Linked DNA regions of Nothobranchius furzeri. Each later gene encodes a partner of the first gene's protein in a complex. Links are inferred from orthologs where the notes say so. Each region holds a gene or a part of one and is shown in the gene's direction. Other genes may lie near its edges. The genes, in order: sf3b5, phf5a, snrpd1, sf3b4, sf3a3, cwc22 and gpkow.

Region 1 (4,199 bases):
AAATGCTACTAATAACACACAATTATGTGAAGCAGGAAAAATTAGAATGCTGTGCAAAATTACTTTTATTTCAGGAATTTCACTATACTGAGAGACCATTTAAAGGCTCAGGAACCTTTACAGTTGTTTATATTTGCAATTATAATTTTGAGCTGATTGGGGTCTTGTTAAATATCACACAGTGACATTTTAATAGTCTTGATTAATGTAATGTTCCTGTTTGTAGTTCCTCCTGTTAAGTGCCCATCTGTTTCAATTATTCAGTTTGATAAAAAAAAAACATTTTGACATACATTTTATTATGTTCCAGTCATTAGTCATTTATATTTCAGTATTGTAGTAATTTATAGTAAATTAAGTAAGTTTAATCAAGAGGGGAACCCATTTTTCTTGCATTCTTTAGTGAAAAAAAAGGTAACAAAATGTTTATTTTTCTTGGTGATTAGTTACTTTTAGTTACTTTTTGGACAACGACGTGATCAGTAACTATACCTAATTACTTTTTAAAAGTAACTTTCCCAACACTGACCATTAGCATTAGCAACCCCACCACACAGCAGAAGCTCCTCCAGGCTTGTGCTATCTGTAGAGACAAAACATCCACGTTGGATAACAACAACGCGACTCTACCATAACGTGGTAGTTTGTTTGTCCCAGTGTCCCTGTGATATCTTGTGGCCTGTCCAGGGTGTACTTTGCTAATGACTGCTGGGGAAAGACTGCTCCCTTTGACCCTAGTGAGGAAAAGCAGTCAAGATCATAGGTGAGTAATTTTTAACAAATATTTCAAAACATTTCTGAACCCAAATCTAACCATATTTTCATATTTTTCTGTCCCAATCATGGTTGCCATTAGCAACAGCTGGTAGATGGAAAATTAGGGTCATAACTCTACAGGCAGCAAACATGCTCAATGCAGAACATCATCAAACACATTATCCACAGAAAAAATTTCATTATACCAGCCACAGGAGAGCCCAGTGCTAAGCAATTCTGAGCAATTTAGTCTCGATGTGGCAATTTGAAAAATTGTACTGTGATTATTTGTTTTAAGATAAATGTTTTAAAACAACATGAATACATCAGTTTTGATGAAAAGTTTATCTCACTGCACAGGTACTCTAATGATTGCTGCAGACACTTGCATATTTATATCCTTAGAAAAAGCCAATAAATACTGCAGTCTATTTATTTGGAAGAAGACCAAGTAGTACTATTTGTTTTTAGAAGCATAAGAAAAACAATGGACGTATTCCCTTGAATGGTGTGGAATGATGATAGAGGCTACACACGAATTTAAAACATAAAAAAGAAAAGATTGCAACATAGACACAACCTATTTTCAATTAACCTACAAATAAACCAAAGAAAATAATAACTGTATTTAATGTACCCAGATTTTCTAAAAAAAAAAAAAAAAAAAAACTTTCTTTGAGTGAGTAAGAAGTACACTTTGACCAATGGAGCGGAATCAGAACAGTACGACATTTGTTCCTACCCGGATCATTTCATAGGGTAACGCGCCGGCAGTGGTCGTTTGTCAGTGCCTGAACGACTCAGAATTAATTTACCTGTTTTGTTTTAGTTCTTGATCTCTGTACACATTACGTAAGTGTTTTGTTCTTTTAAAACCAATTGATGTGAAGCTGAAGCTATTATTTGCCCTCCAGGGGAGCCTAAATTTAGACTTTTATTACACGAAGACCGACTAGCTAAGCTAAGCTACTGTTAGCATAAAGAGTGGAAGATCAAACGTTGTCCAACAAAGAAAATGTGTAAATAAAGGGCAACGACCGAATATTTGGAATTGTATTTTGTTTGTTAATATGTCAATGTTGATCATTTGGATAAAACTCACATAAATAACGGCGATTAAGGATTCGAATGCAGTGGAAAAATACACTGCATGAACGAATTAGATAACTTTGCTAACATCGTTAGCCTTTCCAATATATTTGAAATGTTCGTTTGTATTTTGCTTTAAATAATAGTCTTTTTGGGATGTTTAATGTTGGAGTGGTAGTTTTTAAGCTTTAATTCTGTCTTTTTCCCTAGTTGTCACCATACATCCAGATTAAAGTAGTCACCCACACGTTGCGTTATCAGTACTTAGTCCTGGGACCTTCTAAGGTTTTGTTGTTGCGTTTGTGTTGTCTTTTCTTTTGCTAAATCAAAAGCGCATGCGATCTGCTGATTGTGTCAATAAATAGTATCAATACTGTTAAGAAGTAGCTTTTGCTGCTACGATTAGCTGCAAATACTCGTTTATTTTGTTTGTCTGACCCAAATTAAAAAGAGACTGAGCTGGAGGTTTTTTTTCTTCTTTCCACCATTGTTGGAAATCAATGTTAAAAAGTCTGAAACTTTTTAGCTGTTCTAAAAGTTAAAACATGTAGAAAAGCAGTAGTGATGCACCGATATGACATTTTTGGGCTGATACCGATATCTGATATTGAGCTCACTGTTATGGCTGATAACTGATATTTGCCGGTACAGATATGCTGACATTAAAGCTGAATTTACATTATGTACACGCAACACACACATTTATGGGTCTGAGATTATTTCATTCACTGTTCACATGACTAAACAATTACACATCACCCCCCTCACCCTCTGAAACAGGCGAACAAATGGAGACGAGATGGAAAAAATATCGGCCTGGTTTTATTTATCGAGCCGATATGTTAAAAATTGACCAACATCGGCCGATACAGATATTGATGCTGATATATTGTTCATCCCTAGAAAGCAGCATTTTAAAAAGCTTTACCTGCTCAGTATGTGCCTTATACAACATCATACAGGCTAATGTGTGTATGGAGTTCTGACACAATGTAGTAAAAACAAGTGATGCTTTTTGCATCCCAGCATGAATTACGTACAGCATGCACACATTATCTTTTTAAGAATAACAGTACATCTTCATCTGGACACTGATGAAACCCCAAGTTTATTTTAAAACTTAAAGGACTTCTTTCCCTGGTGAATCAAACAAGATTGACCTTTACAAACAACATTGTACAAGAACAACGTCTAATGAATCAGCCTAATATTCTAGAAAATGTAGAATTTTTTTATATAAATGATTTTAAAGAACATCACGGGTGATGTTTTTCTATCCTTTCCCCATCCAGAGTCTTTGAGTGAAAATGACGGACCGATACAACATCCACAGTCAGCTGGAACATCTTCAATCAAAGTACATCGGCACAGGACATGCTGATACCAGCAAGTGGGAATGGCTGGTCAACCAACATCGTGACTCATATTGCTCCTACATGGGACACTTTGACCTGCTAAACTACTTCTCCGTGGCTGAGAATGAGAGCAAGGCCCGCGTTCGCTTCAATTTGATGGAGAAGATGCTTCAGCCATGTGGGCCCCCAGCAGACAAGCCCGATGATGCTTAAATAACTCCAGAGTGAGCTTTTGTCCCTGGAAATTCTTTTTTCTACCATTAAATCCTGTTTGACCCTATCAAAAATAATTGGATCATCCATTTATAGTAGTTTTGTTTGCATATGGACAGCACTGAGGCAAAACAAATTATTTCAAGATCTCAATGTTTACAAGAACGGTAAATGTGTCTAAGTGATGCACAATTATCTGTGAAGAGATTGAAGAGATTGATGATTACAATGTGCCCATGATAAGTTTTGCTTATTCATTAAAATTTGACCTTTTTCTACAATCTTATTTATTTTACAGCCAGCTATTCATCTATTCTTTCACAACACTTTTATTTGTCATCATTTGGATTGAATGTGATTTGGGTTTATTTGAATAAACATTCATAGGTGGCAGGTAGCCTTTTGAAGCCTTTTACTCTGAAATGCTGGTGTTTTTCAGCTACACCCAATACTTTTCTGCAATATTAAGAAAAAAAAGAGAATTTAATGCAGATAATCTTTATTTTATTATAGTTGTAGCAAAATGCTTTTACTCAACTACAACAATAACTGATGCACTGTGGTTCAAATGCTGAAACTGCTTATTTGCAGTAGGAAATTTCACGGAAGAAAATTATCTGAAAAATCAGTGGGTGAAATTTAGAAAAGTCCACCAAAAGGTGGTTGAAGAAAAAAAATAACGGTGTTAAAAACAACAGAACACAGGTTTATGATGTTATTAAAAATTGCCAAAAGACTGCTTTCAAAACCAGCCGACCTGCTTTTTCAAGACAAAACTGGGAACTG
Region 2 (4,151 bases), on another chromosome or scaffold:
AAATCAGCTGGCTGGTGATACGAATACGACCACTGACGATTCTCAAAGCCGATGTCCAGCGGCGCCGCTCGTCCAGCTGAAGGCTGAACCAGAGGAGAGAGAGAGTAAGTGAAGGCTCTTCAAATTTGGTTTAAAGGTCATTTTTGATCATTGTTGTGTGACTGGGTTGTGTCTCTGTAGTCGTTAGAGTGCAGGTGAAGGTGGAGGAGATGGAGACCCTTATCAACCCCCCAGACCAGCCTCAAAAAGTCTCGCAGTGTGAAGTGAAACAAGAGAAGGCCGAGCAGATGATCCAGTCGGGACATCAGGTGCCAGAGCAGAGCCCACTGGCAGACATGATCCATCAGACCGCAGAGAAAAGAGAAACAGCAGAAAATGGAGGCGAGCATAAAGGACAAGCTGAGCGGAGTTAAAAAAAGACAAACCCCAGAAAAAAGGAGGCCAGAAAATGGGAGGAGCATGGAAGAGATGTGGGAAAACAACACAACAAGACACTGCAGGAGGAGCTGAACCGATGGAGATATAAGCGGCTGCTGTAGATGACGTTCTGAGATGGTAACAGATGTGAATCAAAAGACGGCTGGAGCTATGTCTCATGAATCTCTGCTGTTTATAAACTCTCAGACCCTCCGACCCAAAAAGAGAGTTCAGAACTGTCTCGCCTCCCCCAAGGTCACCCTAGCTACACCCAGTTCCTCAAAAGCTTTTGTTAGTGATCAAGTCATTGTTTTTGTTTCGTTATCAGATTTGTTTTTGTGAGCAAATATCCAGTCGGGAGTAAGAGTCAGACCAGTAGGTGAACAGATGAAAACCGGCTGATCCTGGCTGCATAGACCAGGAGCCGGTATGGCAATGTGGACCTGTTTCACTAGTTAGACTAATTCACTGGCTGGTCATATTAGCCAAGTTAACTGTTTTAATGTTTGTTGGTATAATTCTGTTAAAGAAGAACTCACAGTGGTCATTGTAATGATTTGAAACTGACAAAAGTAATAAATATATACTGAAAATCCATCTTGGCTTTTGATTAGTGGTTAAACAACAACTGAAAAGAAAATAATAAAATGGACCTGGATAAAAATGTTCCCTATTCTTCATTATTTGTTGTTGAACCTTTTGAGACAGTGTCAGCAACCCAGGGATTTTTGTAATTTTATTAACTTTGCTGCTGTTCTATGGTAACTCAGAGACATTGCAGCTCGTATCAGGATGAGGCATCACCTCTGGAGCAGAGGGATAAAGAATTTTAGTGAACATAAAACTTGGAAATTTGTTTAAATTCTGGGCTAATGACAGCATTTTCACCCAATGTCCTTGTTTATTTGAAACCCGTTTTTTAAGAGTGTAGTTACAAGGTGAAGGCACTAGGTGGTGGTAGCGACTCAACTCGACACTTGCACGCCGGTCAAAGGTTAAAACTGAATTACGTTCGGCCGTCGTTGGTTAGCTGAAAATGGCTAAACATCACCCAGATTTGATCTTCTGTCGAAAACAAGCGGGTGTCGGTATGTTTCTTTACTTTATGTCGTTCGGTACCTTTGAAACTACACAGATATATCAGAAACACGTTTGATTTGCGCCATGTGTTAGCTGCTAAGCTAACTGTTAGCATAAATACTGAAATGAGTAGCGGAGCTGGACGTGTCTTTACGGTTTTCATCTCTGTTGACACTAACAATTTTATGGTTTTTAAACCCGTTTAACTGAGTATTGAACATAGAGAAGTACAAATTTATCGTTTATCCTGAAAATTGAAACGTTTAATTGAACGACTGTTCTGTTTTCCTCCCGCAGCTATCGGGAGACTTTGCGAGAAGTGTAAGTGTCTCCACTTTTAACACGTTTACTGTAAAGTCTATTTCTGTTATAGGTTTTCCTCTAGAACGTTGTGCTTTTGGCTAATTCTAACCCAAAGATCTAGCTGATTTCCTTGGAGTAAAGGCGGCTAAAAAGAACCAACCATCATAAACGCTGTTAAACCTCTAGATTTTATTTATAGGCACTTTAAAAACACCCACCTTATAAAAAACCATGCCAATGTAAAATCCGTAATGAATTTTAAAGTCAATGCAATGTAAATTTAAGCAGCATTTTTAAAATAATCAAACATAAATTTAGATAAGAGAATTTGAAAATGATCTGAGGTGTCAACAAGGAAAAGGAAGACGAGGCCTTAGGGTGGAGGTGGAGATATGCAGGTCATCGTTAGGATTTTGGATATCGAGGACAAAGACTGGGATTGGTCTTGAAAGTGAGGCAGAATCCTGTGATGATGCAAAATTGGGATGGCAGCATATATCATATGCTACACGTGGCAGAGCTTTTGACTGACTGATGTCTTTAAAGATGAGGAGCCAGCTGAGGTGGGTTGGGAATTTGGTATGGATGTCCCCTGGACTCCACCTAGGGGAAGCGTTTCAGGCATGTCCTGCCAGCAGGAGGCTCCAGGTCGACCTGCGACACATTGGAGGTACCTCCACTTTGGGCAAGGCACACCTGGGGATCCTGCTGGAGGAGGTCTTCAGAAAGAGGCAAGGTTGGGTATCTCTGCTGGGGCTGCAACCCCCGTGACCCAGACTCATATGCAGGTAAAATCTGGTGGTCATTTACAGTAATCAGGGTCCAGATGTATGGCTGTAAGTGAAGAAAACATATTTTCTACACAGACCGTGCAAACATGAATCACCTTTAGACAGTACATGCTGGACATGAGGAATAATAACGAGGTCACAACCCAAACCAAGATGTTCACCAGACTGAAACTAGTCTGAGAGAAGTTAAACTCTCAACACTGAACTTCACTAAAACTAGTTTCTCCATCCACTGAGTTCAGCGTGTCCCAGCTGGGACAAAAGAGACAACAGAAGAATGTGTTAACAGAAATTTTCAAACCTGTGGACATCCTGTCTGGACACTTGCCAACTTAACCAGAAAATCTGGAAAAGCACCCGACAGGAAAATTTTAAAGTTATTGCAAATGTTGCAGGATTATCAAAGAAACTCCAAACGTGGCATTCTGGTGCATTGGAGTCCAGATGGGACCCTGAGACAGAAGTTGGTTTAGGTGAAGGACACGAGCTGAGCAGAGTCTGCACCTGTACACACAGATCAAGGCTCAGATTTAAATCTGAGAAAGATGTCACTTCCACATTTTGCTTTGAGAAAAGTCAATGAAGCCATTAGGTCGAATAGGAAAAGTCGCAGTTAAACAGATCTCCGGTTTCACTTATCCAACACCTCCAGTGCAGCTTTGGCTCCTCTCCCACTTCGTTTCACAACCACTCACACTTAAAAACACGTGACTGAAACTCTTCCTAACGTTCCAAACACTCACAGAAGAGACGGCGGGTCAGTCTTGTGATTGTTACAGTTACCTAATAAGATCAGAAGCACTTTCACTTTATTAGTAAATGTAGAAATAATTATTGTTCCCATCACCAGCTTAGTTTCTCTTCCTCTTCCAGGTGATGGGAAGTGTGTGATCTGCGACTCTTACGTGCGACCGTGCACGCTGGTGCGTATTTGTGATGAGTGTAACTACGGCTCCTATCAGGGGCGCTGTGTGATCTGCGGAGGTCCCGGCGTGTCTGACGCTTACTACTGCAAAGAGTGCACCATCCAGGAGAAAGATGTGAGTCCTCCTCTCGTACGCCCAGCTGTGTCTGCAGGAACGTCTCTAAATATTTTGTTCCTCTCTGCAGCGAGATGGCTGTCCCAAGATCGTAAACCTGGGCAGCTCCAAGACAGATCTGTTCTATGAAAGGAAGAAGTACGGCTTCAAGAAGAGGTGAAGACAGGAGAAACACCGAGTTCATAGTCGTTTTTTTTTTTTCCAAAAACTTTTTCTTAATAAAATGTTTTTTCTATTTCTGTCTTCATGTTTTGTGACTGGAAAAGATAATTGGTGAACATGAATCAGATGGAATACTCAAATCTTTTCATTAAACATTTTCAAATTAGCCTAAGCCTGTTAGTTTTATTAAACCTTATTAGATCATGTAAACGTTTAGCAGCAAGCTGTAGAACTGAGTGAACCCAGTCTACTAGTCCCACTTCTCTCTTACCATTTCTATTTATTATAACGTGTCAAAGGACACGCCCTTTTTCAGGAATATGGCTAGGAAATTTTCACTTCAATTAAAGTTTATATA
Region 3 (3,683 bases), on another chromosome or scaffold:
TTAGGTTTATACGCTTTTAGCATATCGGCGTTCACACTACAGCATCGTTTGACTCGTATTTATTAGCTGCTTTAGAAATAAATCATTTATCATCACTTCCTTATTATAGTGAGGATCTTCTTTTGGTGTGTGTGCCTTCTTTAGTTTCTATTTGTTAACATTGTTTTTTAAACACGCTAAATCAAAGTTTAAAAGCCTAAAACATTTCATGGCGCAGCGGCCCGACGTTTAACCCCTTTATCTGAATGTTCACGTCCAGCTGACCTTTGATTTTATTTTGTTGGACGTGTGACTTCCTGTTTGAGCCCCGCTGTAACGTTTACAGGAGAATAAAACACGACTGCTGATCTGAAGATCGATTACTCAGTTGCTATGGTTAAGGTGGAGAGAAACCCCAAAAGGACATTATCTGTTTCCACATGAAAGATTTCCAGGAACACGTGCTCACCTGCTGTAATATTTCATGACTTCTGTTTTAAACCACTGCATAATTAGATTTTCTTTTCTAGAGTTCAACAGCAGATGCACTGAGTCGAGACTTTTTCTGCTCCAGAATATTAATAACGTGTTGCGTCAATCATGTGCAGGCAACACACAGAGAGGATGACGGTTTTATTTATTTTTATTATTATTAGAAGTGGAATAATGCTGAGTTTAATGGCCTTGTGCCGTTTTTCTTTTTGTGCTTCACACTTTATGATTTATTGGTCTCAGCCTACATCTTTGGAATAAAAAAAAGCACTCTCATTGATTATACTTGATACATTCCCAGCAGGTCTCAAGAAGACAGATTTGATGTGTGGCCAAATCTCTTAAGTATCGGTGCAGAGTTTACTCTTAATAAAATGAGCTGAAAGTGCTGCTTTGTGGTTTTATTCAACTGCGACAAGTTCTCTGAAGTTGTCTCCTGATCTGTTGAATGAATTAGGTCTTGATCAGTTAGGGTTAATTGTTGTGGATATTTTACCTTTTTTCATCTTCCAGATTTTGATAAATCAGTAAAAATGTAAATTTTACTACGACTTTAACACATGTTGCACATAAACACCGTTTTGACCTTTTGGTTGCAAATTCTGCAGATCACGAATCCAGCAGTAGGTAACGGTAGTGATCTTCCTAAATATTGATCATTTAGGGATCTTTGTTTTGGATATTTGACCTTTTAACTGCCAGATTCCAATAAATTAGTAGTAAAATAAAGATTGTGGATTTTAACACTACTGTAAAACATGTTGCACAGAAAAATAAAACAAAAGTGTTAGAACGGATCACAATTCCACCAGTAGATGGCGGTAATTACACCCCCTCGTCTTTGTTGTCGCCTTTTAGTGACGTCACATCCCTGAACGTTTCGAATACAACAGCGGCCTGTGTTTTCACTCGATCGCTGTAATTTTTGTCTTCGGTGGAGGATTTTTCTCTACTGTTTTCCATCATCATGAAACTAGTCAGGTAGGCGGCAGCGGGAGGTCCCGGATTAACCGGAGAATTAACGTAAACTGATCAAATGAAAGTGATGTGGCCGGATGGATTGGGATTTGATTAAACGGTGATGAGGCGGGAAGTGGAAAAATGTAATGGATCCTGAGCGACGTTACGGCGACCGCTGAGGGTTTAAAACACGTTCCTACGCACAGTTTTAATTATCAACATAGATGAACGTCTACTTTAAGTACATTTCTATTTCAATAAGTAAAAATATTAGGCTAGACGTTAACTCATTCAACCGTTGTAGCATTAGCTTGTCAATCAACTAAAGCGGCTCAAAATGGGGTTTTAACATAATTTGTTAGAGTTCATTTTGTAAATATTTAGTTTAGCTGTTAAACTGGTGGATAATCAGTGTTTTTATTGTTTCAAACGCTTTAAAAGTCACCTAATAGCCATCGGTGGCTAACTAGATAGCTAAAGCTAAGCTACTATCTAGCCTCTGCGAGAAATGTCCCAATTACGTTGTGATGTTTTCACTCAGTCATCGTGTGCAATGATGCCCACAGGTTTTTGATGAAGCTCAGCCATGAAACCGTAACCATTGAGCTGAAAAATGGCACCCAGGTTCACGGCACCATCACAGGTGAGCTCATAAAGGTGGTCAGATAAGCCAGGAGTCAGCTGAAGCTCTTTAATTTCAATACTAATGACATATATTTGTATGCATTAAGTAGATTAATACCCACAGCTGTGCTTTCATCCTCATAGTCAGACTTTAGTACAGATAAATCTGCACAATGTATGTTTTTGTATTATTTAATCCTATTTGATGGGATTTTTTTATGTTTAACAAACCCTAGACAAGCACACACACAACCTGCAAATTAAAATATTTTCTAATCTGTAAAATTAATCCTAAACTCAAGTGCCAGATGTACTTATGGCTGGTGTTTCATCCCTCCTCTCTGTTTTTCAGGTGTTGATGTGAGCATGAACACTCACCTGAAGGCGGTAAAAATGACCCTAAAAAACAGGGAGCCCACTCAGCTGGAGTCGCTGAGTATCCGCGGCAACAATATTCGCTACTTCATCCTCCCAGACAGCCTCCCTCTGGACACCTTGCTGGTTGACATCGAGCCAAAGATCAAGTCCAAGAAGAGAGAAGCAGGTGAGAAAGGTGAAAATGCATAAGATATGTTGAGTTGAATTTTATCTTAAGGTGTTTTTTTTAGAAAGTGAATCTGAATTCTCCTTTGCGTGAACAAAAAGGTTTTCACAGTGATGTAACTGGTGTGTTTGCACAGGTTTCTGCATGGGTTTATATTAAAAGAACTAAATTGTAACATTAACTGTACGACATAATTTAAGGAGTGGTTTAAAGGACCAGATGCTAAATGAGCAATATGGTGTTTGTGACACTTGTGCTGATGCTGCTCATCTGTCTCCTCAGTGGCTGGACGGGGACGAGGCAGGGGACGGGGACGTGGGAGAGGAAGGGGACGGGGACGAGGTGGACCAAGGAGATGATCGCAAGGCTGTTCTGTTGATTCCTAACACTTCACTGTTTGTACAGGATTTTTTTTTTCCTTTGCTTCATTAAAGCAGAAACGTTTTGTGAATTTCTGTGTGCTTTTTAGTTGGACTTTTTTTTTTGTACATTAAACTTCTGGTTAAGAGGACAAATTACTCTGACTTCTTTGTGTTGGTTTTTAATACTGAATAAAGTGTCAGCACATAAACTAGCATCATTAACTACTGTGTTGTCCCAATCAGATCCCAATGCTACTGGTGTACTAGCCAGCCCCACGCTTCCTTGTGTATAAAGTTACACAGATGAGTCTGGCAGGCCAGGCTCTAAAATAAAAATGTATTTTATGAAATTATTATTTAGTCATCAGACCTTTATCCCACTACAGTTGACAAAATAAAGCAAAACTGTTTATTTAGTCAACTTTTAGGTGCAGTTTCTCACATCAGTTGTGATAATTGGTAAAACTGCACATGTAGGTGGGGGAACGTTGTTTTACATTACACCGGGGACCAAAGTCACCGCTAGATGGCGGTGTAGGAAAAGTGACCTGGTAGATGGTAGCCTATAGGATGGCTTGCCGGGCTAACGTAGAGGTTCGTGGAATGACGTAAATCATTGCCCAAAGCTAGTTATTTTATATTAAACGATCATCTTTTAACATATTCGTCACATGTCGAAGGCACCAGGTTCTTTTCGAGCAGGAGTATTTTTATCACAATGT
Region 4 (4,066 bases), on another chromosome or scaffold:
AAATTATCAGGCTGAAGTATATAAAAGGCTCAATAATATGCATTATGGTTTCGTCCATCATGAACAGCCCCCCTCCTTCCACTCTCACTGAGACTTCTTTGCTTCGTTCAAAAGAGCCAGTCTTTTGAGCGGCCCTTTGAAGACGTAATTATTTTTATTTTTATGAGCTTTACTATCTATTTGTGGTATAACGGTTTGTGACTAAATGCATTATGGGATACTTTTCTGGTCCAAGTCCAAAGATGGATACTTTATTGTAATGGGTGAAGGACGAACACATCCAGGAACTTTGAGCGTACTTGCCATGATGCGTACTTGGTATTGGAACAGTACACGGGCTAACGCCAATGACATTTCACAATTAATATAGTACACACGTTTAAACAAGTACTCATATTGCAAAACAGCCTATAACTTGTTTTTTTTAATTAGTCTAAACCTTTCTCTTTCTGTGGTCTTTGGTGATTGCCAAGCAACACTTCCTAACCAGGAAGCAACTTGGTTCGCTCCCTGCTAGCCAAACTATCTCTAAGTATCATGACAGTGCTATACTTTCTCATATTTATGCCATAATGTCAAATTATTTCTTTATTATGTGACAAATATTATGAAGGTTAAAAGAAGGCGATTGTGTTTATGAACACCGGGTTTTAGTGAATCAGCTTGTGAAATATGTGTTGCATTATTTGGTTTGTGTTGTGAAATTCTGTTCTCGTTTTAGGGGCCAAAAAAAGAAAATGTAATAAGTGTATTTGAGCAGGTTTAATGAGTGAGCCTGGAGGTCTTTAATTTTGTTTATTTTTAAGGTTTACTTTTTAAAATAAAGTTCAGTAGATGTATTTTTCTTCACAAGCCATTAATTATTCTCAGCTCTTTCAGTTATTTTAATGACTATTATCTATGAAGGCTCCCTTACTGATGCTTATTTTAAATTCATTTTATAAACAGCTTTGGCAACAGTTTTATTTTTTGTCTTTGGTGCATGATGTTAGTTTCTATTTTTAATGTGTGTTTTATATATATATATATATATATATATAAAAAATAGTTACTTTCTAAAATTTTTGAGACCCTAAATGTGTGTATTTTCTATGAACACTTTGTATTCCATGTTTATACCTTTAGTATATTTATATGTATATGAAATAAATCAAATAATAAAAATAATTGTGGCTTTGTTTTGAATTTGTTGTTAATGGTTAAGTGCCATACAACTAAAAATATCCCAGAAAAAACTATCAAATCAATTCAAATGAAACTTAGTGATTTTGATTGCCTTTCAAGTTTTTAATTAACATTCATTTATTTGCTGTCTTTTTTTGTTTAGGAATGTCTGGGTCTTTAGTGTAATCAGAGTATAACAATTTTTTATGTAACTACAAAAACAGAAGAATTAGTTTATTTTTACTTTAATTTATTTGATCTTATTTTATTTTGTTGGGTTTTACCGGAAGAGGCGGGCCTTCCCTTCACAACGCTCTCCCAGCGTTGGTCATTCAACATGGCAGCGGGACCAATTTCAGAAAGAAACCAAGGTAATTTCATTGTTTAAATGGTTTAACGCTTACACCTTCATTATTTAGCGATATCTCTTGATTTATAACAATTGAAATTCTTATCCGCTCTTTCCCACCAATGTTAGCTGTCTAATTAGCCCGTGTTTTGGGGGTAAATGCGTACTCAAACACATGGAAGTCTCCGGTCTCGTTAGCCTAGCTTCTAGCTAAGTTAGCCGTTTTTTGTTTATTTTAATTGTATTACTTAATGCTTGTATTACTTAATGCTTGACTTCACGATAGCATACGGGAGTTTTATGTTGTTTATTTGAAATGCAGAGATTATTCCAAGTCAGGACTAGAACCACTAAACAACTAAAGTTAGCCTTAAAAACTCGCGACATTAGCATGTAGCAATGCTCACCTATCAATGTAAACACCGTTTTCCTTAATAGGTATTTTCTTGTGTTTCCAGATGCCACCGTGTATGTCGGTGGTTTGGATGAGAAGGTGTCAGAGCCGTTGCTATGGGAGCTTTTTCTGCAGGCTGGCCCTGTTGTCAACACACACATGCCCAAAGATCGGGTCACAGGTCAACATCAAGGTGAGAATCAGGCTATTCAAGATGGGATGAAAGTCCTAAAATTCACTGTAACAATGTACATAACAAATGAAACTGTTCCACTCAGGTTATGGATTTGTGGAGTTCCTCAGTGAGGAAGATGCTGACTATGCCATTAAAATCATGAACATGATTAAGCTCTACGGCAAACCGATTCGCGTGAATAAGGCCTCCGCCCACAACAAAAACCTGGATGTTGGCGCTAATATCTTCATCGGGAACTTGGACCCGGAGATCGATGAAAAACTGCTCTACGACACGTTCAGTGCTTTTGGCGTTATTCTACAAACTCCAAAGATCATGCGAGACCCAGACACCGGCAACTCCAAGGGTTACGCCTTCATCAACTTTGCCAGCTTTGATGCGTCCGACGCCGCCATCGAGGCCATGAATGGCCAGTACCTGTGCAACCGGCCCATCACTGTGTCGTACGCGTTCAAGAAAGATTCTAAAGGAGAACGCCATGGCTCAGCGGCAGAGCGACTGCTAGCTGCACAAAACCCTCTCTCGCAGGCAGACAGGCCACATCAGCTGTTTGCAGATGCTCCGCCCCCACCATCTGCACAGACGCCACTCCTAACCGCAATGGGCCCCGGGATTCCTCTTCATGGTATGACTGCTCTAATCTTAACTGCCGATAAAGAAGTACCTTTCTACATTTATTGGGTTAATTATATAATAGTTTTGTTTTTTTTTTTGCGCAGGTTTGCCGCCTCCTGGTGCCTTTCCTCACGTTCCTCCCCCTGGATCAATGCCTCCAACGATGCCCCCTTCTATGGGCATGCCTCCATCAGCAGGGACACCAGGTCCTCCATCTTCTCTTGGTGGACCTCCAGCTGTTCCTCCACCTTTCGCACCGGCCAGCATGCCTCCAGGTATAACTCGGTTGCAGAAAAGCCTGAAAATTTAAGTCTCTGCTCCCCATTTTAGCTTTAAGAAGTCCAATAACGATTAATAAAATTGTGCAGGATCAACCTCAGTCATCTCCTTCAAATGTGAAGAAATAAAAACAATAATGTTTCAATTTAAATGTCAGGTTATTAAAATGCAGCTGTTAGCCCTGAATGAGTTATTTTTATTTGTTTGATCCGGGCCCACAGGTATGCCTCAGATGCCCATGCCGCCTGCTCCTCCTGGCATGGTGCCTCCACCTGCTCCACCAGGATCGGCTCGAGCTCCACCGCCCCCCAGCATGCCCCCACCTCCTATGGGCATGCCTCCCAGAGCACCGTATGGACCCCCCATGGGTGAGCACTGTGGCATTTTCTCAAAAATACAATTTTTTTTAAATGAAAGTTGTTTTTAACCTGTTATTTCTTTTTTTTTTTTTTTTTTTCCCAAGCCCACCCTGTGCCTCCAGGTATGAGAGGACCTCCCCCCATGCCTCCTCCCGGCTATGGTGCCGTTCCTCCTCGTCCACCTCCTTTTGGTTTCCAGAGAGCACCTCCAATGCCACCAAGACCTCCCGGTGCCCCTCCTCGGGTCCCTTGAGAGCACCAAGAGCTCCGTGATCCACGTCAGACCACAGGAACATTCAGCTTGTTGTTTTTTTAAATACATGTTTCGATCTACTGGATTTTGTTATCTTGGAAGTAATTTAACCAACTGTTTTTGATTTATGCTCATTGTACAGATAAACAGAAAATTGGCAAATAAACATTTTAGTACAACTTTTGGATATTTTTGCGTTTAATTATTACTAATAAACTTGTAATGTACCAGAAATTAGTTTATGAGTAAAAGCTGCATAATAAGCAGGTGAGAGAGTAATATGTTCTAATTTATGTCCAAAAGGTATTTATAACTTGAGGCAGGGGCCCCAGTAGGTCATATACTCTCAGGTATTATGGTTTTATTTAAAAAGTAAAGTGATATTCCCTACTGTTGGGATTAAAATCCAAAAATATTTTTAAAAGAATTTTTTTAAAATGTTTTCTTTGGACATTTA
Region 5 (4,220 bases), on another chromosome or scaffold:
TATGTGTTCAGACTTTAACCACTGATGGTCTGATCCAGGTGTCAGCATGTTGTTTATTGGTTAGAAGTTAAAATAGGTTTCGGAATCATTGATGTGGATCTCCGGTTCTAATCTGTGATGTTTCATCAGTCTGCTGCTCCTGGTTTGTGAAAGAACTCTATTGTAGCGTGGTGAGCTACTCCGGGCTGAGGAAACTTTCTGATGTTTTTAAAAACCCTCAACACCTCGGAGAAGTGGGTTTAAATGTTCGGAGAGTTCGGGGGAGCCCACGGGCTCGTTCCGACCCGGTCCGCTCCGCCTGTTTTGTTGGATAAATGAAGAGTTAGCATCAAGCATGTAGATGTCGGAAGATGCTGCAGCTAACCAGGAGCAGCCCTCTGGTAGCGGGTCTGCCACTGACCTCTGCCAGGTCTGCCCCAGTAGCACAAAGACAGAATGGATACCCCCCACCCCCCCACACCTCGTCTCCACAACGACAACGACCGCCCCCCCCCTTCCGCAGATAACGCCTCAGCGCCTCAAATCCATTACAGCAAGCGAGTGTTGTCACCGTGGAAAACTGGCTGCTCACCTTCCTGAACAGGCTGGACGCACCGCGGCGGAGAAAACGGTTCCCAAAGTCCCTGTAGTCCACAAAACCCAAACACTGGCTGCCCGGTGCTTTGACTTGCTGCTGCTGGAGAACGTACCGAAGCCAGAACGCCACTGTCAAGGCAGCGACTGTTACTGTGGAGTTTCCGGTGTTGACTGCCAAAATAAAAGCTCTGGCGGTAATTATAAAGATAAAAAGGAATATATATATATATATATATATATATATATATATATATATATATATATATATATATATATATATATATATATATATATATATATGACATGGGATCAGACCTCTGAGAATCATAAAAATGTTGGATATCATTTCTACTTTAGTTTTATCACATCCTGTCACATTACTATACACAGCTCTGACAGTGGAATGCATCGTAAATTGTTGTATTACATTTGAGAATGATTTATCATTTGCACCTAAGAAACAAGTTATAAGCGCCAACACTTCCGGTCTGTGGTAAGTGCGCTCCACCGCGTGTGCGCTGGGATAGTGTGTGTGTCCTGATTTTGCAGGCTTTGATGAGATGTGATTAGAAATAGCTCACAATAAAATAACCTCAAACAGCTCACGTGAACGAAAATTTCTATTTTGATCCATAAAACCGTCCGCAGTCGAATTATTCACAAACTCTCACGTCTGGATCGGTCTGGATGGACAGCAAATAATAATTTTAAAACTTTCATAAAATTCTAATAATATAAAAATAAAATATATGCTAATTTGTCCACTTGTAGGAATCCCGTACTGTCACCGTTATGGACGTTTGTGTGACCACAGCGGAACTAATAATTGGGAAATGTTTTCCTAGCCGTACTGAAGCGGACAGTAACTCCTGAACAGACGCCTTTGGTCAACGTACCATACTGCGCTGTGCTAACGCTTCAGCAGCAACCCTGAACAGTCTTCATTAAACTCTTGAGCATTTTGTAAACGATGGAGTCGATTTTGGAACAACAGCGTCGCTACCACGAAGAGAAAGAGAGGCTGATGGACGCAAAAACTAAAGAAATGTTGCACAAAAAGACCACGGTAAGCAGCGCAGCTTTTAGCATTAGCATGTTGCTAACACCAACGCAATGTTCACGTATTTGTTTTCGACTCTTGTTTCAGCTGCGGGATCAAATTAATTGTGATCATCGAATAAGAGCCATGTTGGATGTAAGTATGAAATGCTGCTCTTCCACCAGTGAGCTAAATGTTGTTTGGTGGTGTAGTTTTTTCCGTCGTGTTAAGTAATAGAGTCAATAACAATCATTGTGCTTAAGATCTGAATTTTATGAATCATTGCAATCGATGTTGTTCTGATTTGTTAAATGTAATATAGAAGTTATATCAGAAAATAAAGCTTATTTGTTGTTGGGTAAAGTTGCTTTTATTTTTATTGAGTTACCTGTAATGCTTGGTTCCTGCCTTGGTCGTCATTCACTTTTAGTGTAACTTTGGTGAATTTTCACCATCCATCCATCCATCGTCTGAACCCGCTTGGCCACGTAGGGTCGCGGGGGGGGGGGGACTGGTGCCCATCTCCAGCGGTCAATGGGCAATCAGGCGGGGTACACCCTGGACAGAGTGCCAGCCCATCGCAGGGGACTTTCACTGAATTTTCACTAATAGTATCCAAACGTTTAGAGAAGTAAATCAAAACCTCAGGTTGATCACTGCTGCTCTTTTAATCTGAAGTTCTCCTCATTAAAATGCAGTGAAACCAGAGGGCTTTACTGACACATCCAGACTTCATACACAAAACCCAACAGGTGGTACAGAGGGAGGATTGATCCTGCCAACGCTTACATTAAATTAAGAAAGGGCAAAAAAAAAAAGTAATTCAATAAATGAGGAAATACAATTGAAGATAACACACTTGGAGTTAAATGAATACAATTATTAATTTCCACATCTATTTTTTTAATACATTTCTTCATTTATATTCCTCACACTTCCTGTGGTATATGGTGATGAGGTGAATTAAAGTTAAAGTCCCACTAGTTGTCACACTGATGTGTGACATTGTTCTCTGCATTTGACCCACCCCCGGCAGTCCTCCAAAGGTTGTTGGAGACACGGCAGCACTCGGGAGCTATTTGGTGGTTTAACCCCCGATCCAACCCTTTAAAGCTTAGTGCCAAGCAAGGAGGCATTGGTTCCTGTTTTTCGAATCTTAGGTGTGACTCGACCGTGGATTTGAATCCCGATATCCCAGTCCCAGGGCAGACACTCATACTAATAGCCCACCTAATAATTGCATCATGTATTTCTATATGTACTTTCAATTTTATAACCAGTTATTGTCAATTTTGGTGGGATCAGACCTCCATAGGTTGATTTTTAAAATGTTTTAAATAATTTTAAGAATCACATTTAAACATGATCCTGAATGAAAGCGTATGTCGTGGTTGAATAAAATACTTGATCAGCTCAGTGCAGTGTGCTGGTTGCTTCTAAAGGTAATGTGCTTTATTTAACAATCTGATGTTTATTTAGATCTTCTCAGATCTAACAGAACTATGATGACATCTGAATCAGTCTGATATTTCTACCTGGAGATTCTAAGAAGCAGAATTTGTCAACTGATCTCACACACAGCTTAACCCAAAGTCTTAGATCCGGAGGGCATTATGCACATAGGGGTTGGGGTGCTCGGAGCGCCCCAACCCCTATGTGCGTAATGCCCTCCTCCCCTTTTCATCTAATGATCGTGGTTAAAAGGAAATCCTCCAGAATGCTGCAGAATCTGTGTCTGCTTTTTTTTTCCTGAGCGGTAAGTCTTGTGTGAGTGCATGCTTGCATGCACGCGCGAGTGTGCCTGCGCTAGTTAACAACTCGTTTTTAGATTGAGAAACTCCGACAGCACACGCGGAGGGGTTGAGGGGGGTGCGGTCTACCACTGCCTCAGTGCCGCTCTCCCGGTTCGCCAGGTGACGCCTCTTTCAGAAGCGTTTTTCTAACAGGAAATGTGGATGAAATGCGTCTCCAACCAGGCATTGACCCTCACTTTAAATAGTATTCTAGAGCTAGGTGTTGTCAAGCTATGTGTTACCATGGTAATTTAGAGCCAAGTCTATTACCATGATGATCTAACAGTGAGTCAGTGTTGGCTAGTTTAATGTCATCTGTTGTCATGTTCTGTGTCTCCTCACAGAGGTATATGGAAGTGAGTGCAAATCTCAGGGACTCTTATGAAGACAAAGATGGGTACGTTTTAATTTTTTTAAATATATTCAATGTACTTTTTTTTTTTGCTTGTTAGAGTTAAGCTGTTGTCTCTTTCTGTTACCCATTGTTTACTCAGGTTTGTTTTCCTGACAGTAAAAAAAATCTAAATATATAATTACATTTTTATTCTGGCCTATCAGAAGCGTTGGTATCCCATTCCACGGCTTTTGTTGCTACTTCTTTTATTAAATATATTAAATATTAAAGTCCAATGGCTCTATTTATAAAACTTTGTTTGGATCCTTTACTAAAAAAATTTACTTGCAGAAATAAAAAATTGGACCCATAAAACACTGCGTACATATAGCTGTACACAATTCCTGCTTTATCTAACTCTACCTAGAAATGTGTTCAGGTGATTTTGGATCACATCCCGCCTCCCGCACACCCACTG
Region 6 (4,137 bases), on another chromosome or scaffold:
TCAGCCCACAGCTGTTGTCGATCTGATGTCAGGGTTGACATCCAGACTAATTCCACACATCTTCATTTGAAGAGATTCAGACTTGGCTGTAGGCCTCAGCATGGCACAGTTAGTGTAAGATAGTGTCATTAAACCACTCTACATCAGTGGGGATAGCATGAAGAGAGTGCTATGCTTCCAATTTCTGGAAGCACTAATGATGGAGGACATGACTTGGGGTGTCTTTCTAATGGTGCTTTATTGAACCTTGTGTCCTACTGCGCACCATGGAGGACAACAGGAAGAAGGAAGATGAAGAAAGAAGAAACAGGAAGAAGGAAGAAGAAGAATAAGAAGGAAGAAGGAAGAAGAAGAAGAAGAAGAAGAAACAAGAAGAAGGAACAAGAAGAAACAAGAAGAAGAAGAAGAAGGAACAAGAAGAAGAAGAAGGAACAAGAAGAAGGAAGAAGAAGAAGAAGAAGGAAGAAGAAGAAGGAAGAAGGAGGAAGAAGAAGAAGAAGAGGAAGAAGGAAGAAGAAGAAGGAAGAAGGAACAAGAAGAAACAAGAAGAAGGAACAAGAAGAAACAAGAAGAAGGAACAAGAAGAAACAAGAAGAAGAAGAAGAAGGAACAAGAAGAAGAAGAAGAAGGAACAAGAAGACGGAGCAAGAAGGAACAAGAAGAAGCATTCTTCTTCTTTTTTTCTTCTTCTTGTTCTTTCTTTCTATGTGTTCCATCTTGTCACCCTTCTTAAAGTGAATTCCTGAATAGTTGTGAAAATCATTTACAAGCTTGCATTACAATAGCCTAATATATTAATCTTTCATTTTTGCATACAGAACCTGTCAAGTGAGGTCAGATCACCCTGATCCACTGCAAACTACTTGTGTTATGAAGAAGGATGTCTGATTATTAAAAGAAAGAAGACCCTTCTCCATGTTAGACAGAACATGACTGATGTAATGTGTCATGGTGAATTCAGCTCAGTGGCTGGAGTTTAGGACAAAAAGCACAGACAGTTTGAAGATAAGTTTATATATTTGTTTATTTATTTGCCACAATGTAATTAGTTATAAATAAACAAACTTGAACAATGAAAGCTATATTATTTTTTACATCCTAACATGTACCAAGATTCTTCTTCTTATTATTATAATTTAGTTAATGCTTCACAACTTTAAAACATCAAAATAAACTGTGTTCACATGTCTTTTTTCTTTTCTTTCTTTTTTTTCTTTCTTTTTTTATTTTTTTACCTTTTTATATGTATTTTTCTGAGAGGGTGAATTTTCTTGCTTCACCGTAACTGGAAAATTGGCAACAGCTTGCAAAACTTGAAACTTTTATTGTGAAACCCGGAAGTAACCTTTGACCTAACGGATATGGTTTAATGTTTAGACGGTTTCCGCTAGTCGAACTACAGTGATTTAGGAAAGTCGGAAATATCTAAAGAAGATTGGATATTAGTGGCACGGAAGGTACGTTTGGTTAACATCGTTTTGCAGAGTTATTGAAAATCTAAAAATATAAAGGATTAGATGGCAGACTGGCAAATAACAATATAGCGCTAGCGACAGAGCTAGCTTTAGCGCATTAAGACACATGGCGACAACAGAAAATTCCGACTAAAACAAAGTTTATTCACACACAGTTATGGTGTGTTATTATATCGTCTCAGCGTTGTCCTGTTGGACGTATAAATAAACCCGTTGAATGATTTCTTCCTTTCAAGGCCAATAATAGGAGTTGGTTTCTTAGTTGTTTTTGTATCATATCTTTGAATAAGACAACTCCGCTGAAAACTGCAGCGAAAATACGTCTAACATGTTTTTGAAACGGGGTGACAGAATTTATTTCGTTCATGTTGTCCATTTTATGCTTAAGGGTCATTAAATAAAGTTTTTAATCGCTTGTCGCAAAAATATTTTTACTCGTCTTGTTTCAGGTAGCAACGTCATTATCCAAACAACTAGACTTAATAAGACATATAAATAAACGTATATCCATAGAATAAACACTAGCAAATTAAACCAAAATACCAGTTTCTTTTAGTTACTTTTAAGCAGCCTAAAGGTCGATAAAGAATGAATTAATGTCAGTTCGATGGTTTTTAAATCCAGGTTTTCTTTCTGGGAAAAGATGAAATGCTTAGTCACTTAAAAAGTCAAAACGTCATTTATATTGACTGGTCCGTTTTTATTTTCTCTAGTTAATCAACCAGTGCTTGACAAAGAGATTCTTTCCATTTTACATTAACGTTTATATTTGCTAACATTTTTTCCTGTTATCGGAGAATAAGGACCAGTAGGATTTCATATGGCACAAACAACAAAGGAGTTTTTACATTCTGTTTATTAGAAACAAGAAAAGTTTGGATAACAAATTAACAGATTACTCTAATCTTTATTTTAGTAAATGGACTCTTCAGCCAAAAGTGAAAGTCCCAGTCCTGCACATAGAGAACACAAAGGTAACACTCACAGTTTCTTTCTTTATGTTTTTCCAGAAATGACATATTCATCTTCTTTGTCTACAGAGCCATCAGAAGATGAGTCCAATCAAGCAGCAGCGATACCCCAACAGGCCGGTGTGGCAGAGAGAAACCCCGAAAAGCGATCCTCTCCTCAGTCCGGTCCCACAGGCTCTAAGAGTCCTGCCCCCTGCAGCTCCGACAGCAGAAACAGTGAGGATGAGGAGGAACATCAAGATGCACTGCAGAAGATTAGGAGCAGTGTGGCTCAGATAAATGTAAGAATCAAGCCCTGCTCTTTTTGTGTTTTCAATTATTACGCTCTTTAATTCTGCTTTGTAAACTAAAGCAGAAAAACTAAATAACTCACTAAAAAGATATTTCAGAAGTCCAGTAGGACTTTATTTTTCTTGTCTCATGTTTTCATTTTCTTCTGTCTTCAGGTTTCAGATCATTTTTACATGCGATGATCAAAATATAACATCCTTAAAATCCTTTTTTTTTTCTTTCCAGACATCCAGATCCAAAGAGAAGGACAAATCTTCATCCAGGGAAAAAGACAGATCTCATTCTAGAGAACGGGACAGGTCCCGGTCCAGAGAGAGGGACAGGTCCCGGTCCAGAGAGAGGGACAGGTCCCGGTCCAGAGAGCGAGACAGGTCCCGGTCCAGAGAGAGAGACAGGTCCCGGTCCAGAGAAAGAGTCAGAGCTCGATCCAGAGGACGAGACAGATCCAGGTCAAGAGAGAGAGACCGAAACACGGAACGCTTTGATAGAAGACGTTTTGGTCGGTAAGAAGTTTCTCAGGACGTGTCATTAACACCATGCCTACATCTACCTACCAACTTTCATATTTACTAGAGAAGATTCACTAAATTTGAGTAGGATCTGGCTGCAGACATCAGCTGGCGTGCCACCGAAAGAACTTTCTAGCGAGAACAAGATGGCGTGTCATTACTTTTACCGGAAAATCGACGATCGAAAGACCTCGGCCGGAAGTTGGTCTTTTTTGGCGGCCGCTTTTGTTTCAACCATACTCGGCTGGTTTCATAGAGGTAAGGTAAGGATGAAATTAACTAATTGTTGCAACCGTTCTTAGTTCTTAAATGTAGGCACTATAGCATTTAAAGCTTTACCAGAGAATTATTGCAAAGGGCACCGTGTTTCATAGCTAATTGTATCAATATTAACACGCAGTCTTAAAACGAATGCAGGGAGTTCACAAGCTAACACAAAAGCTACATAAATAAAGCTATCAGCAATTGTAGCTTAGCTTTAACTTAGCTATTTGATTTTTCTCGTCTCCCTGTTTGTTAAAACAGTTAAAGTAATAATATAAACTTTATATATAATTTAGATATGATATAAAGACCACGATTTCTAATACTGACTTGACTGAAACGTTATTAATACCCTTTTTTAATTAAAAAGCGTAGATTTTCAGAGATTTGTAAGTGGTTTCAATCACTAGTTTTCATACGAGGCTAAAGTTAGCTTCCGATTCGGGAAATGGCTAAAGGGCTAATACACCCAATTTTTCTCTACTCAGACCATTTTTATTCTGCTCTAGCTCAAAAACTGCAACACATACGTTCTTCAAACCTGTTTTAGATTATTCTGGGCTCGTAGTAGCAGAATGCATAAAACATAGTTTGTGATATGTGAAACCTTCCTCTGATTTGTGAAAC
Region 7 (3,953 bases), on another chromosome or scaffold:
AAACCGATAAAGAAAATAGAAAAGCTATCAAGAAACTCTCAAAACACACACACACACACACACACACACACACACACACACACACACACACACACGAAGCAGATTCTCAGATTTCTCATATTTAGACTGAATACTGACCTGCCTTGCCGCTGACACACACACATTCTCTTCAAGCAGTTCAGCCTTTCAAAGAGGATCCGTTTGAACGCGTCTATATACATTGACCCTGCCGAGGTTAAAAAAGGAGCAGCACTTTAATAAATAACGCGACCTGTTTGGTTTGGAGCAACAGCAGGAGCTGGAGGAGGAGCGAGGAAGAGTCTGGAGTCTGGAGGAGATGAGATGAAAGGCGATCAGCCGGAGCCAGCGGAGAAAGTCAGAGCCGATGCGCACGGCTGACGGGATGTTTGGACACTAGTGATGCTCTGGGAGCTGAGGAGAGCGAGAGAGCGGGGAGAGCAGGAGAGAGAGAGAGAGAGAGGAAAATAAAACACACACACACACACACACACACTATCGGGCAGATTTGACGGCGGTCGCAGATAATTTCAGCAGCTGCTACATTGCTGCGAGCAAAAAGGAGAAAGGAGGAAAAAACAAGAAGGCGTGGATGGTTGTGACCCAAACGGGAGGTTTTAACTTGTGCAAAGAGAACAGTGCGTTTCTTACCCCCATGTTCACTCTCTGCGCCTCATCGTTTATCCATCATGCATACAGAAAAAGCCCGAATTACCCCCCAAAAAATCATACAAATGTCGGGTTCAGCAAATAAAGGTGTCGCTGAACTTCAGAGGTTGCGCAAAAGCAGGTGCGGAAATAGTAATAAGGTTGCGCTCATGCTGCTGACATGCAAATGCGGAGAAAAAAACAGCAACATTAGGCTACATGGCTAATGAAAAGGTTAACCTCACAAGTTCAGGCGCTCAGGAGGCACTGGGAGGAGGAGTTAAAAGCCCCGCCCACATTCTGCCTAAAACACACCTGCATCAGCAGCACCAGAGTCCGCTTCACTATCTGCGATTTAAAGGAGTCAGACCCACGCATTAATCCAACTCATTCAGCTCTTGTTTCTTTTTATTACAGGAGACTAAAAAGCTCCAGATAAACTATAGGGGTTTACAAGATGACCGCTTCAACGGAGCGATGTTTCAGCTTTTCAAAAATAGACCTGCAAGTCTAGACATGTTCACAATGAAAGTGTTAAACATCAGTACCTTTCTATTTTAAATCAAGTGTCAGTGTAATTACCGTCTGTTTAACTACTTTAAATGATTTGATATATTATTTAGTTACTAATAACCAACGGATTTCACAAATAAATCAGTAAATCTCGGATTGCCTGCGACCTTTAAAGAACTCTTATTATGAGGCATGATGGGATCTGTAGTCAATTGCAGCCTAGAGTGGTTATCGGGCTCGTTAACGCAACCCCATCTCCCAGAATGCACTGCGCCCTCATCGTTCTTCTTCCACAAACAATCATGGCGTCGCACGGAGACGGTTCAGGTGCCGCCGAGAACCAAGGAGATAAAAAGGCAGCGGCGGTATCGTTTGGTTTCACAAAAACTGTCAGCAAATTTAAACCCGCAGCCGGCGGCATTCCAGCCAAGACCGACGAGAAGGATTACCTGACTGGAATCGACCGAAATGAGTTACAGAGGTAGGCTAACCGCTAGCTAGAGGCTAAAGCTGTCAGTGGTTTGTAAACGGAGTGGTGACGTTTGAACTCTAAATCTGACTGACCACACTTTTACGTGGTGTGTGTAATGTATCTACCCGGGACACTTTAAAGATTTAACTTTTGTCTTCCGTGGCAGTTCAAAGCCAACCGAGAAGCCCAAAGAGCTCATCATCCCATTGATCCAGAAGAACCGCTGGCACAAACCGGACCGAGCGGACCCGAGTGGAGGCTCAGCGCGCGGCTCGGTCCAAGACAAAGACTCGGTGGAGTCTCAAGCTGTCAAAGAACTCATTGAAGGTTTGTGGTTGAAAAAGATGCAGAAGTTGGACAATGAATGGTTGCGTGTCAAAATGTGTACCCCCTCGCAAACGGAGCCCATCCTGGAAGTGTCTTCCTGCTAGACTGTAAAACAATTAAGAGCACGAGCTCCATGGCCGGTTTGTGTGTGTATTAGACAGTTTTTACTTTCCTACCCAACACTAAGAAAACCATCTTTATCAGTGACGTTGTGTGTTTCTGCTTGTAGATTCACGGAGGCAGCTGGAGCAATGGCAGAATGCAGCAGAGTCGAACAGAAGCCTGGACCTCTCCATCCCTCTGTTGATGCAGAACAAAGTCCCTGAGGGTTTTGAGGATGGAGACCATGTAAAGGTGGACCTGCGGCCTGAATCTGTAAGTGGGGACAGAACGGGCTGTAAGAGACTTAGGAGTATGCAAAGTTTACCAGACGAATGAGAAAAGATAGAAAAATTAATTATTCACAATTTTGTTGTTAGAGCAGCTTAAGTCAAGCCATCTGTTATAGTCAGTAATGCAACAAACCAGAACCTTTAGATTTATAAAACAAATGGAATAAACCTTTAAAAGGTTTAGTAAAGTACAGCAAAATTATTCTTTATCTTAATGATTAATTTAAAGCACGTGTACATGCTACTGCAGCAATCTGACACCCGGATCTACCAATATCCATCAAAAGTAGAGATGTAAGAAAATATCGATATGGCAATATATCGTGATATTTTTCCCAGCAACATTATATCGATATTCAAAAGCCGTGTATCGGAAATATCGATGTGGCAATATATCGTGATATTTTTTCCTGCGATTATTACATCGATATTCAAAAGCCGTGTATCTAATTCCTGAAAGAATTTACATGCAAACATTTGTGTATTTTCGTTTTGCGCAATTCAATCAGCACCCGCTAGTTGGCAGCAGTGTGCAGCGGGTTTTGTTTCCACCACTGAAATGTAAATCCCTCCATCATGGTTCAGATACCTCATGTTAAACATGTTACGTATCAGTTTGGACTGTTTATTGAACATTCTTACAATAAATTCAGTTAAAAAATTGCTTGTAACGTCTGACTGAATGTATCGCAATATATCGTGAAATATCGTATCGTCTCCCCTGTATCGTGATATGTATCGTATCACAAGAATTTCAAAAATACACATTCCTAATCAAAAGGCATGCTTACATCATCTTCGTCAGCTTGTTAAAGGATTGTACCACCTCACAGACGTTTGGTTGTGATGTTAGCAGCAAACCATGAAAAGTAAAGTTCGACCGATAATGGTTTTTCTGTTGCCGATACCGACGTGTAAAGGTTACGGACAGCTGATGGACGATTAGTGTTGCCAATGTTCTGTGCCGATTTTCATGTCTAGATGTTTTCCGCCCTATTTTCATGCTAATATGTCACAGGTAACACCAGTAAATGCACAAAATTTCAGAAGCTGAATCGGTTTTTGAACACTAAATTTAACTGTTAAATTTTAATCTTGTGCACTGCTCAGTGTTAAAACCAGACGTCTCACTAAAGTTAATCAAACAAATCAGGATACTGACCGAGTATTAAATGCTCAAAACTGGTAAACAAACTCTTATTTTTGGTGGAAATAATTTTTAGAGCATTAATTAAAGCAGATGCTATTCAGGAACATAAAAATACAATTAAATCCTGCAGCAGTGCCGGGCTGCCTGGGGATGTGCCTGACTTAAAACCGGCTAGGTTGTGTAATTGACAGTGAAAACTGTAAAAACCACGTTAAATCCAGAAAAAGCTGACAGGTTGAAGAAATCAGCAGTGACAATTTCATCAGTAACAAACGAATCTTTAAACTTCACTTCCTGACGGACGTGAAGGAAGGCCGTCGGTCTGAGCTCGTTATCTGTCTGAGGATGCTACGGGAAGGTTGTGATAGAATCTTCTGGACAGGTGCCTCAGTGAGGGCACGAAAACACCTGACAGTACAAAACGTCTGCTACT

The links.
Region 2: the proteins of sf3b5 (region 1) and phf5a are in contact, whole or in part, in a cryo-EM structure (PDB 7EVN), measured with the Homo sapiens proteins. The link is inferred for Nothobranchius furzeri from reciprocal best matches to the Homo sapiens genes SF3B5 and PHF5A. Residues at the interface, in NP_112577.1 of Homo sapiens: Arg4, Tyr5, Thr6, Ile7, Gln10, Leu14; in NP_116147.1 of Homo sapiens: Pro6, Asp7, Leu8, Ile9, Phe10, Cys11, Arg12, Ile88, Leu91.
Region 3: sf3b5 (region 1) and snrpd1 share a complex: the UniProt entries of both Homo sapiens proteins name them as parts of the minor spliceosome. The link is inferred for Nothobranchius furzeri from reciprocal best matches to the Homo sapiens genes SF3B5 and SNRPD1.
Region 4: sf3b5 (region 1) and sf3b4 share a complex: the UniProt entries of both Homo sapiens proteins name them as parts of the SF3B subcomplex of the 17S U2 SnRNP complex. The link is inferred for Nothobranchius furzeri from reciprocal best matches to the Homo sapiens genes SF3B5 and SF3B4.
Region 5: sf3b5 (region 1) and sf3a3 share a complex: the UniProt entries of both Homo sapiens proteins name them as parts of the 17S U2 SnRNP complex. The link is inferred for Nothobranchius furzeri from reciprocal best matches to the Homo sapiens genes SF3B5 and SF3A3.
Region 6: sf3b5 (region 1) and cwc22 share a complex: the UniProt entries of both Homo sapiens proteins name them as parts of the minor spliceosome. The link is inferred for Nothobranchius furzeri from reciprocal best matches to the Homo sapiens genes SF3B5 and CWC22.
Region 7: sf3b5 (region 1) and gpkow share a complex: the UniProt entries of both Homo sapiens proteins name them as parts of the minor spliceosome. The link is inferred for Nothobranchius furzeri from reciprocal best matches to the Homo sapiens genes SF3B5 and GPKOW.

Annotation. Positions count from the first base shown.
Region 1 is NC_091752.1:24,290,177-24,294,375, forward strand, and holds sf3b5 (splicing factor 3B subunit 5), read left to right. Parts: upstream 1-1,495; 5' UTR 1,496-1,608; intron 1,609-3,137; 5' UTR 3,138-3,152; coding exon 3,153-3,413; 3' UTR 3,414-3,699; downstream 3,700-4,199. UniProt on the Homo sapiens protein: Component of the 17S U2 SnRNP complex of the spliceosome, a large ribonucleoprotein complex that removes introns from transcribed pre-mRNAs.
Region 2 is NC_091756.1:28,019,722-28,023,872, forward strand, and holds phf5a (PHD finger-like domain-containing protein 5A), read left to right. Parts: upstream 1-1,351; 5' UTR 1,352-1,453; coding exon 1,454-1,505; intron 1,506-1,794; coding exon 1,795-1,818; intron 1,819-3,464; coding exon 3,465-3,631; intron 3,632-3,701; coding exon 3,702-3,791; 3' UTR 3,792-3,866; downstream 3,867-4,151. Other genes in the region: l3mbtl2 (lethal(3)malignant brain tumor-like protein 2), read left to right, coding at 1-104, 181-413.
Region 3 is NC_091759.1:18,894,640-18,898,322, reverse strand, and holds snrpd1 (small nuclear ribonucleoprotein Sm D1), read left to right. Parts: upstream 1-1,314; 5' UTR 1,315-1,438; coding exon 1,439-1,452; intron 1,453-1,997; coding exon 1,998-2,074; intron 2,075-2,407; coding exon 2,408-2,608; intron 2,609-2,881; coding exon 2,882-2,958; 3' UTR 2,959-3,183; downstream 3,184-3,683. Other genes in the region: gamma-glutamylcyclotransferase, read left to right, coding at 3,680-3,683. UniProt on the Homo sapiens protein: Plays a role in pre-mRNA splicing as a core component of the spliceosomal U1, U2, U4 and U5 small nuclear ribonucleoproteins (snRNPs), the building blocks of the spliceosome.
Region 4 is NC_091759.1:1,630,057-1,634,122, forward strand, and holds sf3b4 (splicing factor 3B subunit 4), read left to right. Parts: upstream 1-1,266; 5' UTR 1,267-1,501; coding exon 1,502-1,535; intron 1,536-1,971; coding exon 1,972-2,100; intron 2,101-2,185; coding exon 2,186-2,728; intron 2,729-2,822; coding exon 2,823-2,993; intron 2,994-3,218; coding exon 3,219-3,365; intron 3,366-3,460; coding exon 3,461-3,609; 3' UTR 3,610-3,788; downstream 3,789-4,066. UniProt on the Homo sapiens protein: Component of the 17S U2 SnRNP complex of the spliceosome, a large ribonucleoprotein complex that removes introns from transcribed pre-mRNAs.
Region 5 is NC_091751.1:25,496,844-25,501,063, forward strand, and holds the start of sf3a3 (splicing factor 3A subunit 3), read left to right. Parts: upstream 1-1,420; 5' UTR 1,421-1,546; coding exon 1,547-1,642; intron 1,643-1,723; coding exon 1,724-1,771; intron 1,772-3,752; coding exon 3,753-3,805; intron 3,806-4,220. UniProt on the Homo sapiens protein: Component of the 17S U2 SnRNP complex of the spliceosome, a large ribonucleoprotein complex that removes introns from transcribed pre-mRNAs.
Region 6 is NC_091754.1:30,022,249-30,026,385, forward strand, and holds the start of cwc22 (pre-mRNA-splicing factor CWC22 homolog), read left to right. Parts: upstream 1-1,337; 5' UTR 1,338-1,457; intron 1,458-2,391; 5' UTR 2,392-2,394; coding exon 2,395-2,449; intron 2,450-2,515; coding exon 2,516-2,727; intron 2,728-2,962; coding exon 2,963-3,240; intron 3,241-4,137. UniProt on the Homo sapiens protein: Required for pre-mRNA splicing as component of the spliceosome. As a component of the minor spliceosome, involved in the splicing of U12-type introns in pre-mRNAs. Promotes exon-junction complex (EJC) assembly.
Region 7 is NC_091755.1:41,971,939-41,975,891, reverse strand, and holds the start of gpkow (G-patch domain and KOW motifs-containing protein), read left to right. Parts: upstream 1-1,153; 5' UTR 1,154-1,364; coding exon 1,365-1,660; intron 1,661-1,817; coding exon 1,818-1,978; intron 1,979-2,207; coding exon 2,208-2,353; intron 2,354-3,953. Other genes in the region: membrane-associated guanylate kinase, WW and PDZ domain-containing protein 3, read right to left, coding at 139-221. UniProt on the Homo sapiens protein: RNA-binding protein involved in pre-mRNA splicing. As a component of the minor spliceosome, involved in the splicing of U12-type introns in pre-mRNAs.